2 linked regions of the Struthio camelus genome follow. The protein of the gene in region 1 interacts with the protein of each later gene in a biochemical or structural test. Links are inferred from orthologs where the notes say so. Each region holds a gene or a part of one and is shown on either strand. Other genes may lie near its edges.

Region 1 (7,151 bases):
GTGCTCTCCAAGACACCTAGTAGACAGGTAAAATTCAGATGCTCCCAAAGCTTGGAGCCTGCCGGGAGGCAGGCTATTTATACCCAGAGGACAATGTTCCTTCCAATGAGATGCCTGCTACAACCTGACAGTGCTGGTGTAAAAAGGTCACTTTGTCAGCCAGGGAAGCTAGCTGCAAGGAAGCAGGCTAACACAGGACGGGCAGCACATACGCAATTGCTTCATAAAAATCAATTTTTCCCTTTTGCTCATACCTCTCTCCTCTGCTCCTCCTTGGCAAACAACATGGCTGCTGAGAAGAGGGGCAGAAGAAAGGGATCAACTGGGGAGACCAATAACGCCACCCCAGCAGCACCTCCCTGCAGCGTCCTCTGCTGAGCATAAGGAGCAGAGGCCAGGCACGGTCAGTGGGAACGGAGAAGTTTGTTTGCCTTGTGGCCTTAACCAGCACTCAGCTGCCTGGCAAGCACTCAAACTTCCTTCATCACAGCGGAGCTGAAAACAAACAACCAAGGCCACGGGCGCTGCAGCAGCAGACCGGCCCCGGGGAAGGGAACTCCGCCGGGCAGGCTGCGGAGATTCAGCAGCGGTGCTCGCACAGCCTGGACCCACAAAGGCCCTGTGGCACTGTCACTGCTGTTAAAGCTACAGGAACCCACAGAAGAAAATCCCAAGGAACAGGCTAACATGGGGGAAGGAAACTGCATGTTCAAATTTAGGGCCAAACCGGCTCAGCAAAACCCTTTACCGGGGAATCCAGAGGTCTATGCAACGCATCTCAGGAGCCATCTAGAAACACTTCTCCTATCCACATCATACAGCTACAACCTGATAAAGCAAATTTTTTACATGACAAAAGCCTGTGATTGGGTTGGCTGAACAAACGAGGCTGCCACAAAGAGGCCTTCTAACGAAGCCCACTGCACCCTCCCGACCCTCACCCAAAGTGCTCGCAGATCCGACCGCTGCTGTCAGGAGAGTCAGGGCAAGCGGGAACCAAGAGGAATCAGTAGCTGGGAGACATCCAATGCACTGCAAGAAGCCAGTCAGGATGGAGGCAGCAGACTGATCCGCAGACAGGAGAAGAGACTGGTCCCAGTAATTTAACCTTTTTTTGTATTTTAAGAGTCAGGCATTTCCAGCTAGAGGAATCCAACTTTTTCAGGCCTCGTTCCCATCCAACACGCCTCCCAGAACAGCCTCAAAGCTGTAACAAGACCCTGGCTGACAGCATCTGGGTGATTTCACCTCTCCTCGCCTCCAGTCCCCTTTCCAAAGGGGTCAGGGATGGAGACAAACCAACACACTAGTCCGTCGGTAGCACGGGAAGAACGACCTAGACACAAGTTGCTGGCTATTTTCTGGCCTTGCTCAAAGGATCAGAGACAGAACCATTTGGCAGCTCGCACAGAGGACACCCAGAGAACTGGCGTCAAGACAGAGACCAAGCTGGGTCTAACTCTCCAGACTGCTGATTCTCAGCTTTCGATAGCTTCCTGAAGAAGGATCACACTGAGAAGTGCCAAATGCAACGACTGCAATGAAGAAAACGCAGCCTCAACACATTTCCCCAGAGCTGGAAAGGCCTGAACTCAGCACAAGCACGGCCAATTCTCTCCTCAGCCCAGAGGCAGCACGACAGAGCTGACAGCCGCGCGCATGATTCGACGCAGGCCCCATTCTCCACATTCCTGATTCACAGAGCGGTGCCATGAGCCCAGTGTAAACACGGTGACGTCACTCGTTCCAGCACAGGCCAGCCCGGAGAGGGAGGCCCATCTATCGGGATGCGGAGGCAGGGGAAGGCGCCGGGCGCTACGAGACGCTCCGCGGCACGCCGCAGGAAAGTTCTCTCTGCCCGCGCGGGTTTTGAGTTAGTTGACACAATTGTCCCAGGAATCCAAGCAGATCAGTTGTTTTCCCTCGCTACACGCACAGTCTGCCTCCCGTGCATCCCCGCTCTTCCCTTGGGAGTCCGAGGTGAGCTCGCATCCAGAACGCTTCCACCGTAATTATTCAGTCAAGGAATCTGCCCGCGCACCCCGTTTTACCTGCGCTTGCGGGGACGACGGGAGCAGCCTGCTCTCAGAGACCCCCTCCCCGGTCCCAGCGGTGTCCTCCCCCCAGCATGCAGCTGTATATTGAAACATCGCTAATTCTGGGCGGTCAGAGAGGCAAGAGCCTCCCCCTAAACACACCAAACCGGGGTCCTGCCCTCCTAGAGCAGGGAGAAACGGGGCACGAAGCAAAAACCCTCCGCGCCGGCCAGGTCCGGCAGCCTGCCGGGCGCCTTGGCCCGAGCGAGCGGGAGGACGCGCTGCGCCCCGGCCCCGGCTCCAGCCCCGGCTCCAGCCCCGGCTCCAGCCCCCGGCCCCGGCCAAGGCCTCGCAGCCGAGGCTGCCCCGGCCCCCGGGGCTCGGTCGCACCGAGCGGAGCTGCGGCGCCGCCGGGGAGGGCGCCCGCAGCCGGGAGGAGCCGGGGCAGCGGCCGGGGGGCGCCGACACCCCCGGGCGCCGGGGCGGGGCGGGGGCCGCCCTCGCTCGGGGCGGTGCCGGGCCGGTCCCGGTCCCGGGGCGGCTCCCGGGCCCGTCGGCCCCGCACCTGTTGCGCGGCGCCGCGGCGGGGGCCGGGCGGGCCGCGAGCCCGGGGCGGCGGCGGCCCCGGCACCCCCCATCGCCCCCCATCGCGAGGCGGCGGCGGCCCCGCCCCCGCCCGGTCCGGCCCCGGGGACCGGCCCGCCGCCCCGCCCCGCCCCGCCGCGCCCCGCCCGGGGCCGGGCCGCTCCCGCTGCGGGGCCGGGGCTGGGGCCGCGCCCGCCGCGCTCACCTCCTCGCGGTGCCGCCGGGGCCGGGCCGGGCCGGGACCGGGCGCTGGGAGGGACCGGGACGCCGCCAGCCGCCGCCGCCGCCGCTGCTCACGGACGCGTCACGTGATGTTTGGGTCACGTGGCTCCATTCATGAAGCGGCCGGTGCAGCCGCCCCGAGCCTTAAGGGGGACGCGCATTACTGTCGGAGGCGACAGCGATAAGGAAGGGGGCGGGGCGTGCCGCGCCTTAAAGGGGAGGGGAGGGGAGGGGGGGCGGCCGGCTGGCTCCGGGCCCGGTAGCGCCGCCGCCCCCGAGCCGCGGGGACGGGCCCGGCCCGGCCGCCGCCGCCGCCGCCTCCTCCGGGAGCCAGAGCAGCGCTGCAGCCGCCTGCCCGGATAAACCAACCCGGAGCGGGGCCTGGCGCGGCCGGGCACCGCCCGGCTCCTGCGGCGCCGCCGCCCCGCTCCCGGCCCGCTCCCCTGGGCCACCGCTGCAATCACACACGCGAAGCCCTCCGCAGGGGCTGGCACAGACCCCACGTCCAGCGTTTTAACTTTGCCCCAGTGCGGAGGGGAGCATCGCCCCTGCTCCTGCTCAGCCAGCCGCTCCCGCGCTTCCACGCTCCTTGCTCCGTCTCAGCAGCTCATCTTTGCTGCATCTACAGTTTCTCAGAGCTGCTGAAACTGCAGGGAGCAGCAAGGTCTCCCCTGAAAATGCTGACTTAAGGAAGAGGGCTTTGCAGCTGCTCTCCGAGGCATTAGTGACAATGCTGAAGCAAGTTTCTGCTGAAAAAGTGTACGAGCAGGGCTGGCTCTCGGGCTGTGAAATGGTGCTCTCCCCCCCATCATGCCTGGCTTGACCCATGTGTCCCCATCTATCCTGCTATAACTCTGTGCTCTGTGTCCATAACACAGCAATATTTGTACCTATCCTCTTTGCTGCTGCACGACAAGCAAAGCAGGCCTCTGCCCACCAGAGCACACCAGATGAGCACAGCGGAGGAAGGACATCAGTGAAACCAGGCACACATGAATTAAGACATCATGGAGAAAGCATGATCCTTATAAGGAAAAAATCTGGGCCCTGGACATTCAACAGCAGCTCCACTGTCCTCTGCCATGCATGCAGGGGACACACAAACTAGAGCCGCACAGAGTCATTTTATATGCTTTGATGGGCTTTTTCTCTTCTGTGCTGACCAGCTAAGTTACAGGTCTGCAAGCATCGAGCAAGCTCAGCTCTAGTTCTTGCACAGCAATGCCTCTTCTAGGGCACACTGGGGCAGCCCATATATCCCTCTGGAGGGGCACAAGCTCATTGTGCTACCTTTTATCGTGTTCCACATTATCAGCTGTGTGGAAACACTTTGTGCAATGCCCCATTCACTTTTTAATCAGACAGTATTTCAACCATCTGACTTACAGCTTGGCAGATCTGTGCAGGGTGTTCACAGCTTTTGAGCAGGGAAGGAGAGGAACATGTGGCACCAACTTGCTTCCCATGGACTCTTGTCTGCAGTAGCAGAACTGCTAGGAAGCCTACAGTTTCAGGACGGTATGACAGAAATTAACACTCAAAAATCCTCAGCCTGATTTCAGCCAGAAGGCTTTTTTCCTTCAATTTTCTTTAAACCTCTGAATACTGGTAGCATAGGGCCCTAAAATAACCCTTATGTTGTTGCTCAGGAACTGTAAATGACAAGGAGAAACTGATACCTTCCCAGTCCCACGGCCAAACGAGCCTCGAAGACAGGAGAGCAGCACAGCCCAAGCACACTCCCTGGGAACAGCGAGGATCTGCTGGCACCAGCCACAACCAAGAGACCCACCCAGTCCAAAGAGCTGGGACTAGCCACAGGCCTCAGTCAGAGAAGCAGTTTATTATATAAAGAGGGAAGAGGAGTCACCATCTCCAAGGCCTAAAGGGTCATACCCTGCTACCAGCCGAAAGCCTAACACTGAAGAAGCTTTTCTATTATTAGCACCTTTGGCAGCCTCTGCACTGTTACCTAAATGCTTTTCCTGTATCACCAAGATACCCAGGATTCCTCAGGAGAGAAAATAAGCCCAGCTTAAATGTCTTCCTTTTACCAGCACTACCCCAGTGTATCCCAAGGTAGAATATAGTATGACATTTATCCACCCAAACCCCCTCCATCCCCTCTAGTCTGCTGCTTCCACTGCAGCCAGCTAAAAGCGATAGGGGCAGTTTGAATGCTTTGTACTGTTTTCTGGCTCAGGATAGCACTCAGGGTCTGAGAGAAGAGTAGAGGCAAGGAAGCCACCCAAGGGTATTTACTATAAAAAAGTCACATAAAGCAGCAGATGAAACCTTGTATTTGCTGCTGTTCTTGAGATGGCTCCCAAGACCGTGCCTGATTAACCATCTTTCTACATGATGGGCTGTAATCCCCCCAGTTGCTGAGAAGGGTCAAGCAGGGCTTCCCTCTCAGCCTGCTGCTACCCCAAGCCTGGCCAGATTTCTCCCCTCAGAAGTCCTGGAGTTCAATGGGCACCAGAAAACACTGCTTCCAGACCCCATTTTTCTCTGCTGTTTCTTGCTCACACATTTGAGTTACGGTGGAGAGAAATTCTCCAGACGGGAACATCAAGGGTTTTCCTCCTCTGCAAGGGTACAGTCATCTGGACACGCTTCACCAAACAGCTCCTTGTTGCTGCACAGGCACTAGGCACTCACGAGTACTCCCTTAACCTCTTTTGTGTCAGGCAAGGACTGAACCATTCTCTTCCTGGATCTCATGCAAGATAAGCTATGTGAGAAAGAACAACATTTGAGCCACAAGCCAGACCAGAGGATTCCGTGTTTCCCTTCAGTCTTGTATACTAAAGGACTAGGAATGCAACTGCATGAAGCATCCCCAACTAGTTTCTAGGTGTTTCCTCTTTTAGCCATTAGCAGCGTGATGTCGTCAAAAGAACAGGAAGAAAAAATAATAATCAGAAATGGGCTAGAAAATGCCAAAGAAACCTAACTGTGCCAACACAAAGGGATACTGAGGGCTGCTGTGCCAGAATTCATCATCCCAGCCCAGGGCACTATTGTCTGGAAGGGAGAACCAGCCCACTGCAGCATATCTAAACTGCAGGAGCTGAAGCACAGTAGCCCCTGGCAGCGAGTGCCAACACCACAACCCAAGAAGACGACACGGCCCAATTCAAGGAAAGGAGTCGAGGAGAGTTCTGCTGCCACGCGGTAACCCAGCACCTGGGTACCAAACCCAACCAGACAAAGCCCACTTGAGCCTAAGGGAGCAGCGCAGTAGAGGGCTTTCTCTGGGGGAGGGTATCCCTGACCTCCGCTCTGCACTTCTCCTGGGGCAGCAAGGAGAGCATCAGGAAGCACAGCGACCACTGAAGCATACCCATGGGTGTATGGGAGCAGATTCTGCTTGTGAGGAGTTCACAGGTGCCAGAAACAGAGGGAAGAGGGAGCACGTGCTACCCCTCCACCTGCCCAAACACCCAAGAAGGCTAGGCAGCAAAGGAAGGACAGTGAGAGTAGGTCATTGTTCCCAAACTACGTGCAGCAGGGAGAAGGAGTAGCCAGTGAAGAGAGATGCGGTGCGGTTCAAGCACTTGGGGTGCTTGAAGGCCAGGGGTTCACATCATTGGGCTGTCAAATCAAGGCAGATGGGAAACAGGGCAGAGGCACTTTGATCCCTTTTGAGAGGTACATTAGAGCCTAGCCTCTAATGGAGCGCAGAGCACTGCATTTCTGCAGTAGTATCTGTTCTAGCTAATATAGACAGTGACAGAAGACAAGCTCTGACAGCACATGCTGAGGCAAGAGGGATCCAGCCTGGTTCAAACCACTGAGACCAAAAGGCATTCTGAAACCTCTTAGAAATACCAGTAGAAACCACATCTGCATGGGACACAATAAACACTGCCTGAGCTCTGGGGGTATCCAGGGCCTCTGGCCAAATGATGCCCTTGATAAAGCTCTGGTGATGCTATCACACCCCTGCCCAACAGAGAACAGCAACGCTAGGGGCAGTTTTCACCAATCCCGCTAGAGGTGATTGATAGATAGATAGATCCTCTCCTACAGCCTCATGCTGCCCCACAGCTGCTGCAAGCTGAGAGCCAGGTATGGGGAACACCAACATCCACAGCGAGAGGTTTTTCCTTAAACAAAGAAGAAAGGACATATAGGAGACTGACTATCAGCACAGCCAGATTACGGTAGCCTGGTCAGTTCTTCTTACTGCTGGGGCTCTTACTGGTGAACAGACTGACTTTGCTGGCAGATGCCACAGACAGAGAAGGAGATTCCAGCTTGACCTTATCTAACAAAGTCTTCTTTATGGCTGCTGGAGAGATC
Region 2 (7,674 bases), on another chromosome or scaffold:
GCGAGGCGCCAGGACGAGCGGGGCGCTGAGCCGCTTCGCCGGTGCGGCCTCATCCTGCTGGAGAGCCCCGGGCGCCTTCCTCCCGACCCTCCTCTTCCGCAGGGACCGTCGCGCGTGGCTCCTCGGTGGCCTGCAGCGCCTGGGGCGAGACGGGGCGGCCGCCCACCCGTGGGGCACGGCACCGTGCGGGGACCTTCCCGGCCGGACGCCTGGGTCCCCGGGCTGGGGAGGGGGAGAGGGGTGCACCCGGAGGGGTGCACGGGAGCAGGACCCCGGCCCGTCTCCCACCTGCCGTGCCGCCTAGTCCCTCCGCTCTGCCGGCTCCCTCCGCGCCGAGCTACCCGCCAGGTAATCCAAGAGGACGAAGCCGTAGGCTGCCGGCTCCGGGGCCGCCTGGGTGGAGAGAGGCAGAGGAGGTCGGAGGAAGGCCGGCGCCGGCGGCGGGGGGGCCGGGCGGCCGCACTCACCCGGAGGCTCAGCCTCTGCGCCACGTGCTGCGGGTCGCTCTCCAGGATCACCCTGCGGCGAGGAAGGGCCGCGGGGCGGCGCGGTCAGGGCGCGGGAGCCTCCGTGCCTCGGTTTCCCCTCCGTGCGCGACGCCTCGACGAGGAGCCGGGGTGGGATGCTCAGGTCCGGCCGGGAGCCGGGCAGAGACGGAGCCGGCTCGTTTCCCCCGCCCGGGGACACCGCGGGTCCCCGCAACCCGCCGTGCCCCCAGCTCCTTTTGCTGTTTTGCCCCCAAACCCCGGCAGCAACTCACCCCCCGTCCACGATCTCGTCCACCACCAGGAACGCCCCGTCCATGTTGTCCAGCAGCCAGCGCTTCTCCACGTCCCCGCTGCGGGCGGCATCATGCATCACCCCCGTCCCGCTGGGATGCGGGGTGGGGGGGGCCGAGACCCCCTCCGTGCCGGGGTGGACGGCAGCGGGGGGGGGGACACACGCGGGTTTCGTCCCGGTGCCGCTGCTGGACTCACCGCCGCACGAGGCCGAGGGTCTCCACGAGGCAGCTGAGAACCGACGCCAGCACGAGCTGCAGGGACGAGCGGCGGCGTGAGCGGCGGCCGGGGGGGACCGAGGGGGGCCGGAGCTGGGGGGGGGGCTCACCTCGTTCTCCTGGCAGCTCCCCGCCACGCAGAAGAAGAGGTCGGCGCTGCTCTGGCAGACGGCGGTGAGGCCCTGCAGCGCGGCGACGTCGCCTGGTGCGGGCGGCCGGGCGGCATCAGCCGGACCCGCTGGGACCCCCCCGCTCCGGGCCGCCCCCCCCCCCCCCCGGTGCTCACCGCCCGCCCGCTGGGCTTTGCTGAAGACGCTCCTCTCGAATGCCGCCTGCTCCTCCGGCGAGGGGAAGGTGCCGTCGTAGTACTGCGGACCGGGGCGCCGGCGTCACCGCCGGGACCCCCAGCAGCAGCCCCGAAATCTGGCCCGGGGGGCAGCTGGGGCACCGCCGGCCTCCCTGGGTGGGGGGAAACTGAGGCAGCGAGCCCTTGGGGGGGGCGCTGCGCGGGGGTGCTCGGCACCGGCCGGCCCTACCTTGGCCAGGAGCCGCTGCCCATCGCTGTCCAGGATGAAAAGGGCCTTGACGGTGTAGAGAGAGGGCTCCCGCCGCTGGGACGGGCCGGGGGCTCAGCCTGGCGGCGGGTCCCGCCGGACCCACGTCCGTCCCCCCTCTCCGCTCCTTGCCCCCCGTTTCTTCCCGTTCTCCCCATTTCCCCTCTTCTCTGTCCTCCCCAACACCTGTTTTTTCCCCTTTCTCGCTGTCGCTCCCTTTTTCCCCCCTGTTTCCCCCATTCCCTGTCCCCGTTTCCCCCTGTTTCTCCACCTTCCTCCCCTGTCACCGCCCCCGGTCTCTCCCCGTTTTGCTCGTTTCCCGTCGCTCTGCCTCCCCTTCCCCGCCGCTTTCCTCCGCTCCCCGCTGGCTCCCCGTTTCTCCCGGCTCCCTGTCATCAGCCTGTGTTTCCCTCTCGTTGCCCCGTCTTTCCCCTGTTTTTCTCCCTTTTTTCCCTCCCTTTTCTCCCCATTTCTGCTTGCTTCTCCATGTTTTCCACCGTTTCCCATCTCTCCTGTTTTTTTCCCCCCCATTTTTCGGTCTCATCCCGCTACGCCCGTGCAAAGTTCCCGGGAAGTTGCTGTGTCCCCGCTCCCGGCCGTACCGGCAGCCCCGCGGGCTCCATGGCTCCGCCGCCCCCGGCAGCCCCCCGCCGCTGACGTGGCCGTGCGCGGCCCGGCCCGCTCCGCCCCGCGGCCCCCCTGTGCCCCCCCTGCACCCTGCCTCAGCCCCACTGCATTGCCCCCCTGCCCCCTGCTCTGCACCCTGCATCGTTCCCCCCCCCCAACCCCGGCACCCTGCTCTGTCCTGTTGCACCCTGCTCTGTCCTGTTGCACCCTGCTCTGCACCCTGCATCACCCCCCCGCACTACCCCCCGCACCCTGCTCTGCCCCATTGCAACCTGCATCGTCCCCCCGCACCCTGCTCTGCCCTGTTGCATCCTGCATCGTCCCCCTGCACCCCACATCACCCCATTGCACCCTGCTCTGCCCCCCCTGCACCCTGCCCCCTCCCCCTGCACGCTGCTCTGTCCCCAATGCACACCCAGCCCCTGCCCTTGCACCCCTGCCTTGCCCCACTGCACCCCCATCTCACCCCCCTGCAGTACCCAGGCCCCCCCGAGCCCACCCCCTCGGCCATGTGCCGTGGGGTGCCCTGGAGCCCGGGACTCCCAGGTGCCCCAAATTGGGACTTTCAGGTAAGCCCATGGGGCCACCCGCAGTGGGGCAAGGGGGGGGTCACCTCCCACCCCAATTTCTGTGGCCTTTAACTCGGGGACCCCTCCGTGGGTGCCAGGGACACGGTGGGGAGGCGAGGGCAGCGAGATGGGGCGTCCTGGCGGCGCGGGGAGCCCGGCGCGGGGTCCGGCCGGCGGGTGCTGGTGGGAGACGGGCTCGGCCCCGGGGGCAGCACGCGGCCGCTGCCAGCGCATCGGCACCTCCCTGGGCGCCGTGGCACGGGGCCCTCTGCCCCGTCGGGGGCTGCGGGGGGGCCGGGATGCTCTGGACCCTGCTGCAGGAGAGGCTGGGGCCCCCCCGGGCGGTGATTCCCAGCTGGTCGTCCCCCCCCCCCCACCGGGGGGTCTGCAACTCCAGGTCTGTGAGCTCCCGGTTGGTGATCCCGGGGCTGGGGACCCCCCCCCAGCTCCGACCCTGCAGCCTTGGTCTAGGACCCCGGGTGCGCGATCCCGGATCTGGCCGTGGGGGCAGGCTGCCTGCTGGCCGCCCTGGCCGTGACCGTGGCCGTGGCCCCGCCGTCCCGGGGTCCGGGAGGTCGCGTTGAGCAACCGGCTCCCGCCCTGCTCCGACCCAGAGTCTCTCCGTGACTCCCCGATTGCAACCGATTCACCCATTTGCTTTAACCTCCACGGCTGGCGCTGGGGGGGGTGGGTGGGTGGCTGAGGGGCACGGTTGTGCCGGGGCTGGGGGCTCCGATCCTGCTCCTGCTCCAGCCAGCGAAGCACCGACGCGCTCCCGGGACGGGCCCTTAAGCGAGGAGCACGCTCGTGCCGAGAAGGGAGGATCGGGGGGCAGGAAGGGAGGAAGCAGCGGCCTCAGCGATGCCGGTGAGGGCGGGAAGGGTGCTGGAGGGCGGCCGGCGGGCTCTCTGCCGCCCCGCAGGAGGCCCGATTCCCCCTCCGCGGACTCCAGGCTGGAAAGCGCATGGGCGGCGAGAGCTGCATCCTGACGCGTGACAGGAGCCTCGTTCGCCGGGGTTGAATTCGAACCCGGGGACCAAAAAAACACCCCAAAACCCCCCAAAACTCGCTGTGGGATTGGCCTGGGAGAGCAGCTCGCCCCCCCCCCCCCCCGGTCGCTGCTGGGCCGAGCCCGCCGGCGAGGCAGGTCCGTCGCTCGCGGCGCTCAGGTGACGGGGCCGGCTGCCATCCCTCCAAATAACCCCGCAGGGGGAAGCTAAAAATAACCCGGCGAGGGGGCAGCGCGGCTCGAGTTGCTCCGGGCACCCGCCGCGGACGGTGGGTAGGATGGAGGGGAGAAGGGGCTCCCACCACGGGGGGGGGGGGTCATCGCCCCCCCCCCGGCTCTCGTGGGTGTTTCGTGGCTCGTTTTTTTTCTTTCCCCAAGAGAAAAGCGGGGAGACGGCTCGGGGCGAACGAGTGAGAACGAGCCAAGGCCGGAAGCGGCGATGGCGCCGCCGCCATGGCCGCCCCGGGCCCACGGCGAGGCCTCGGGCCTAAAGGCGCTGGGCGCCATGGCAACAGCTCCAGGGCGGGGCGCTGCGCTGCCGGGATTGGGGCGTGTGGCTGCCACTCAAACGCCGGCCCCTGCGCTCTGCCTCATTGGTGGCCGCCGCTGTCGCTCGGCGGAGGCGCCGCGTTCTATTGGGTAGGCGCCCTGTCGCTCCGGCAGCGCGTGCGGGGGGCGGGCCAGCGGCCTCGCGTCTCCTCTCCGGGCGTCGCGCGGGGTCCCCGCGGGAGAGCAAGGGGAGGGAGCAGCGGCCCGAGCCGCGCGCCGATTGGCCCGCCGGGCCGCCCATCACCGGCCGCGACGGGGGCGGGAGCGACACCTCCCCGCCGCCGGCTATTGGTCCGGCGCCTTGTCCCGCCTCGCCTTTCCGGGCGCCGATTGGCGGGAGGCGCCGCGCGAGGCGGGCGGGGTGGCGGCGGTTGTGGCAGGGCGGGGAGCGAGGCGCGGGGCCGGCCGCCGGCGGCTGCGGGGCCGGGAGCCGGCAGCGGGCGACGGCGGCGGAGAGCGGGTAGCGGCGGGCGGCGGGGCGGCGGCGGGGGCCGGGCCACGGGCTGCTCCCGACCGGGGGGAGGCGCTGAGGGGCGGCGGCGGCGGCGGCGGGGGGGGGAGGGGAGGCGCTGAGGGGACGGCGAGGCCGCGCGCGCGGCGGCGGGGGGGGGGGGCGGGTCACGAGGAGCTGGGGGGGGTCTTAAAGGGGCCGCGGTGGCGGGGAGGGGGGAATCTTAAAGGGGCCGCGCGGCCCCTTGTCAGGCCGCGGCCCCGGTCGGGAGCAGCCCGCGGGGTGGGGCCGTGCCCTCGGGTCTCGCCGCCCGTGGGGGGCCCCGAGTGGGTGTTGCGGTGCCGAGGAGCGAGAGGGAGCCGGGGCTGGATGCCTCTCCAGAGAGGGGATGTTGACGCACCAGGCTAAGAATAGCTCAGGGAGGGGAAGCGTGGACAATGCTGTCGCGAAAGGTAACCTTTGTTTTGTGTGTTTCTGCCTCAGGGTTTTGTCAGGAAATCAGCGAGATTAGCTCGGCTCCTGGGGAGGCTGTGCGTGGCGAAACGGTGTAGTAGGTACATGTGCAACGCTTAGGGTGGTGCCTGGTCGGCGCGTTATCGCCTTTGCGCACTGGTTATATTTCAGCTTCTGATGAAATCGCGGCCAGAAGTGGAGGAGTCTTTGAACCTTTCCTTGATCAGTACCTTTGACTCGTAGAGGCTCCTTCAAGAAGCTTCTCAGACCTTGAGGGGGAAAGAAGAAAGCAAGCAGTTGGCTGTCAGAGAGAGCACACCCTGTCCTGAGCGGGGCGAGGATTTGGGAAGGCTAGAGGAAGTTGCTGTATGTGAACTTTTTGGACAGTAAGTCACATGGATTTTTATGTAGCTTATGAACAGTTTTATAAAACAGTTATGTTTCAGAAGAGGAGGAAAGGGCACTGGCGGGTGGAGGCTGTCTCCGAGGGTATGGTTCGTCACTTCTTGAGATTTAAATCTTTGATTGGACCCTGCTGGCCAACCTGTGATTTCTGGTATGTTAGGAGTTTTAAAAGAAAAACAAAATCATCCAGAACCAAAGTTTTGAATGTTCTTTAGACTTTTAGCTTGTTGTTTTGTGATAACCTGAACTGTGAAGTCTTTGCTTTATTTTGTTTGCCTAAAAGTGGGGCAGAGGAAAGACAAACCCAACCAACCTGTTGTGTGGAGAGTTAATTGGACTTTTTTTTTTTTAAGCCTTCCACCTGTTTTCTTCTTTTCTCCTTCAGAAATGCTTTCTCTGAAGAAATATTTCACTGAAGGCCTCATCCAGTTCACTATTCTGCTCAGCTTGATAGGCGTTCGTGTGGACGTGGACACCTACCTGAACTCGCAGCTCCCCCCTCTAAGGGAAATCATTCTCGGCCAGAGCTCTGCTTACACTCAGACCCAGTTTCACAATCTGCGCAACACCTTGGATGGATATGGCATCCATCCAAAAAGCGTAGACCTGGACTATTATTTCACAGCTCGCAGGCTCCTCAATCAGGTGAGGGCCCTGGACAGGTTTCAAGTGCCCACCACTGAAGTCAATGCCTGGTTGGTGCACAGAGACCCTGAAGGCTCTGTGTCCGGTACCCAGCCCAGCGCCGGCATCGCCCTTGAGAACGGCAGCGGCCTGCAGGATGGGACCAGCCCTGACAATGGCGTGAGGGAGAGCGGAGCTGAGCAGGGATTTGGTGAAGAACTGGAAGACTTGGGAGCGGTGGCACCCCCAGTGAATGGAGACCTGACCAAAGAGGTAGGCAGTGCCTTCTTTCATATAAGACACGTGTCAGGAAAGAAAGGGAGCCCTTTGAGGGCTCTGGGAGTAGTCTGGCTCTGGCACGTTTGATATCCATCAGGGCCTGTTAAAGTGAGCAGGACTTTCTGCATTGTGCCTGCTTAGCACTTTGGAAAAGTGGGCCCCTGCTTGTGAATTGCATGGCGCTGAATTAAGCTTTAGCTAGAGGGCTCTAGGTGGATACACGTGGTTTGTGTTTTATCCTCTCTTTTTTTTAATTGTTTTATTCTTGGTTTGAAAGTAGTAGTGAGAGGGGGTGAAAGGGTTGGGATCAGTATTTCAACCTGTGCCTGTAGCTTTGTGTTGTGAAACCGATAACACTGGGAAATAAACAGGAGCATTGGGTAACAGCCATATCCCAGGTGCCGAACGGGTGGTTGGGTTACTTGCTGCTGGAGTTCATCCAGTTGATGTTTATTGCTTGGGTTTTCATCAGAGAAGGGTGGGGAGAGGTGAATTGGAAAGAGGTTTATTTTTCTGTCTGAGCGTAACCTTTCAAATGCTGTGATGCAATCAAGTTCTGGCCCCCAGTAGCTGCTGCGCTCTTTCCTTTGTGGCGTTGGTTTCTTTGTCAAGGCATGTTCAGCCTTAACATCTCTCTGGCCGTGTTGTGTTGATGTTGGTGCTGAATTCCAGTGTTAGGTGCTTCTAGCGCCGCTGCTGCTCCTCATAAATTGTTCAGGGCTGAGCTGCTCAGGAGGCTGGGCACAGAAAGAGCTGAATTTGACTCCTGTGATCCCCTGTCCCCTGTGATGAAGCTTAGGGGTGGCTCTTTGGCACCAGAAGGTGGGGAACTTTGCAGGCAGCTGTCGCGGATGCCTTGAGCTTTTGTCATGTGGTTTCTGCAGGCAGGAAATCGTGTAAAGACAGTGATAGGAACGCATTCGTGTAGGAGAGGCAACGGTGACGACTGTTTCAGATTTAGTATTTACTGAGGATGGGCTGATGCCGTAGGAAGTGTGGATGGTGCCTAGGTTGTACTTGCGGGAAGCCTTGCCCTGTCCGCTAGGATCTCCTAGCTCCGGAGGCGAAGAGCATGTTGGCAGTGTTGAGACTATGGAACTGAGTGTCAAAGCCCTCTTTCTGCCTGCAGCCAGCGCTTTGTGTGACCTTGGGTGCCT

The links.
Region 2: the proteins of MAFG (region 1) and NFE2L1 form a complex in vitro, tested with the Homo sapiens proteins (2 studies listed by BioGRID and IntAct, with this or other methods). The link is inferred for Struthio camelus from reciprocal best matches to the Homo sapiens genes MAFG and NFE2L1.

The regions. Positions count from the first base shown.
Region 1 is NC_090960.1:370,153-377,303, reverse strand, and holds the start of MAFG (transcription factor MafG), read right to left. Parts: upstream 3,006-7,151; 5' UTR 2,827-3,005; intron 2,110-2,826; exon of another isoform or gene 2,052-2,109; intron 2,015-2,051; exon of another isoform or gene 942-2,014; intron 1-941. Other genes in the region: PYCR1 (pyrroline-5-carboxylate reductase 1, mitochondrial), read right to left, coding at 7,022-7,151. UniProt on the Homo sapiens protein: Since they lack a putative transactivation domain, the small Mafs behave as transcriptional repressors when they dimerize among themselves.
Region 2 is NC_090966.1:5,758,684-5,766,357, reverse strand, and holds the start of NFE2L1 (endoplasmic reticulum membrane sensor NFE2L1), read left to right. Parts: upstream 1-4,668; 5' UTR 4,669-4,765; intron 4,766-4,974; exon of another isoform or gene 4,975-5,310; intron 5,311-5,380; exon of another isoform or gene 5,381-5,452; 5' UTR 5,453-5,595; intron 5,596-5,999; 5' UTR 6,000-6,001; coding exon 6,002-6,511; intron 6,512-7,674. Other genes in the region: COPZ2 (coatomer subunit zeta-2), read right to left, coding at 338-393, 468-600, 761-838, 978-1,033, 1,108-1,199, 1,284-1,456, 1,534-1,608, 2,154-2,174.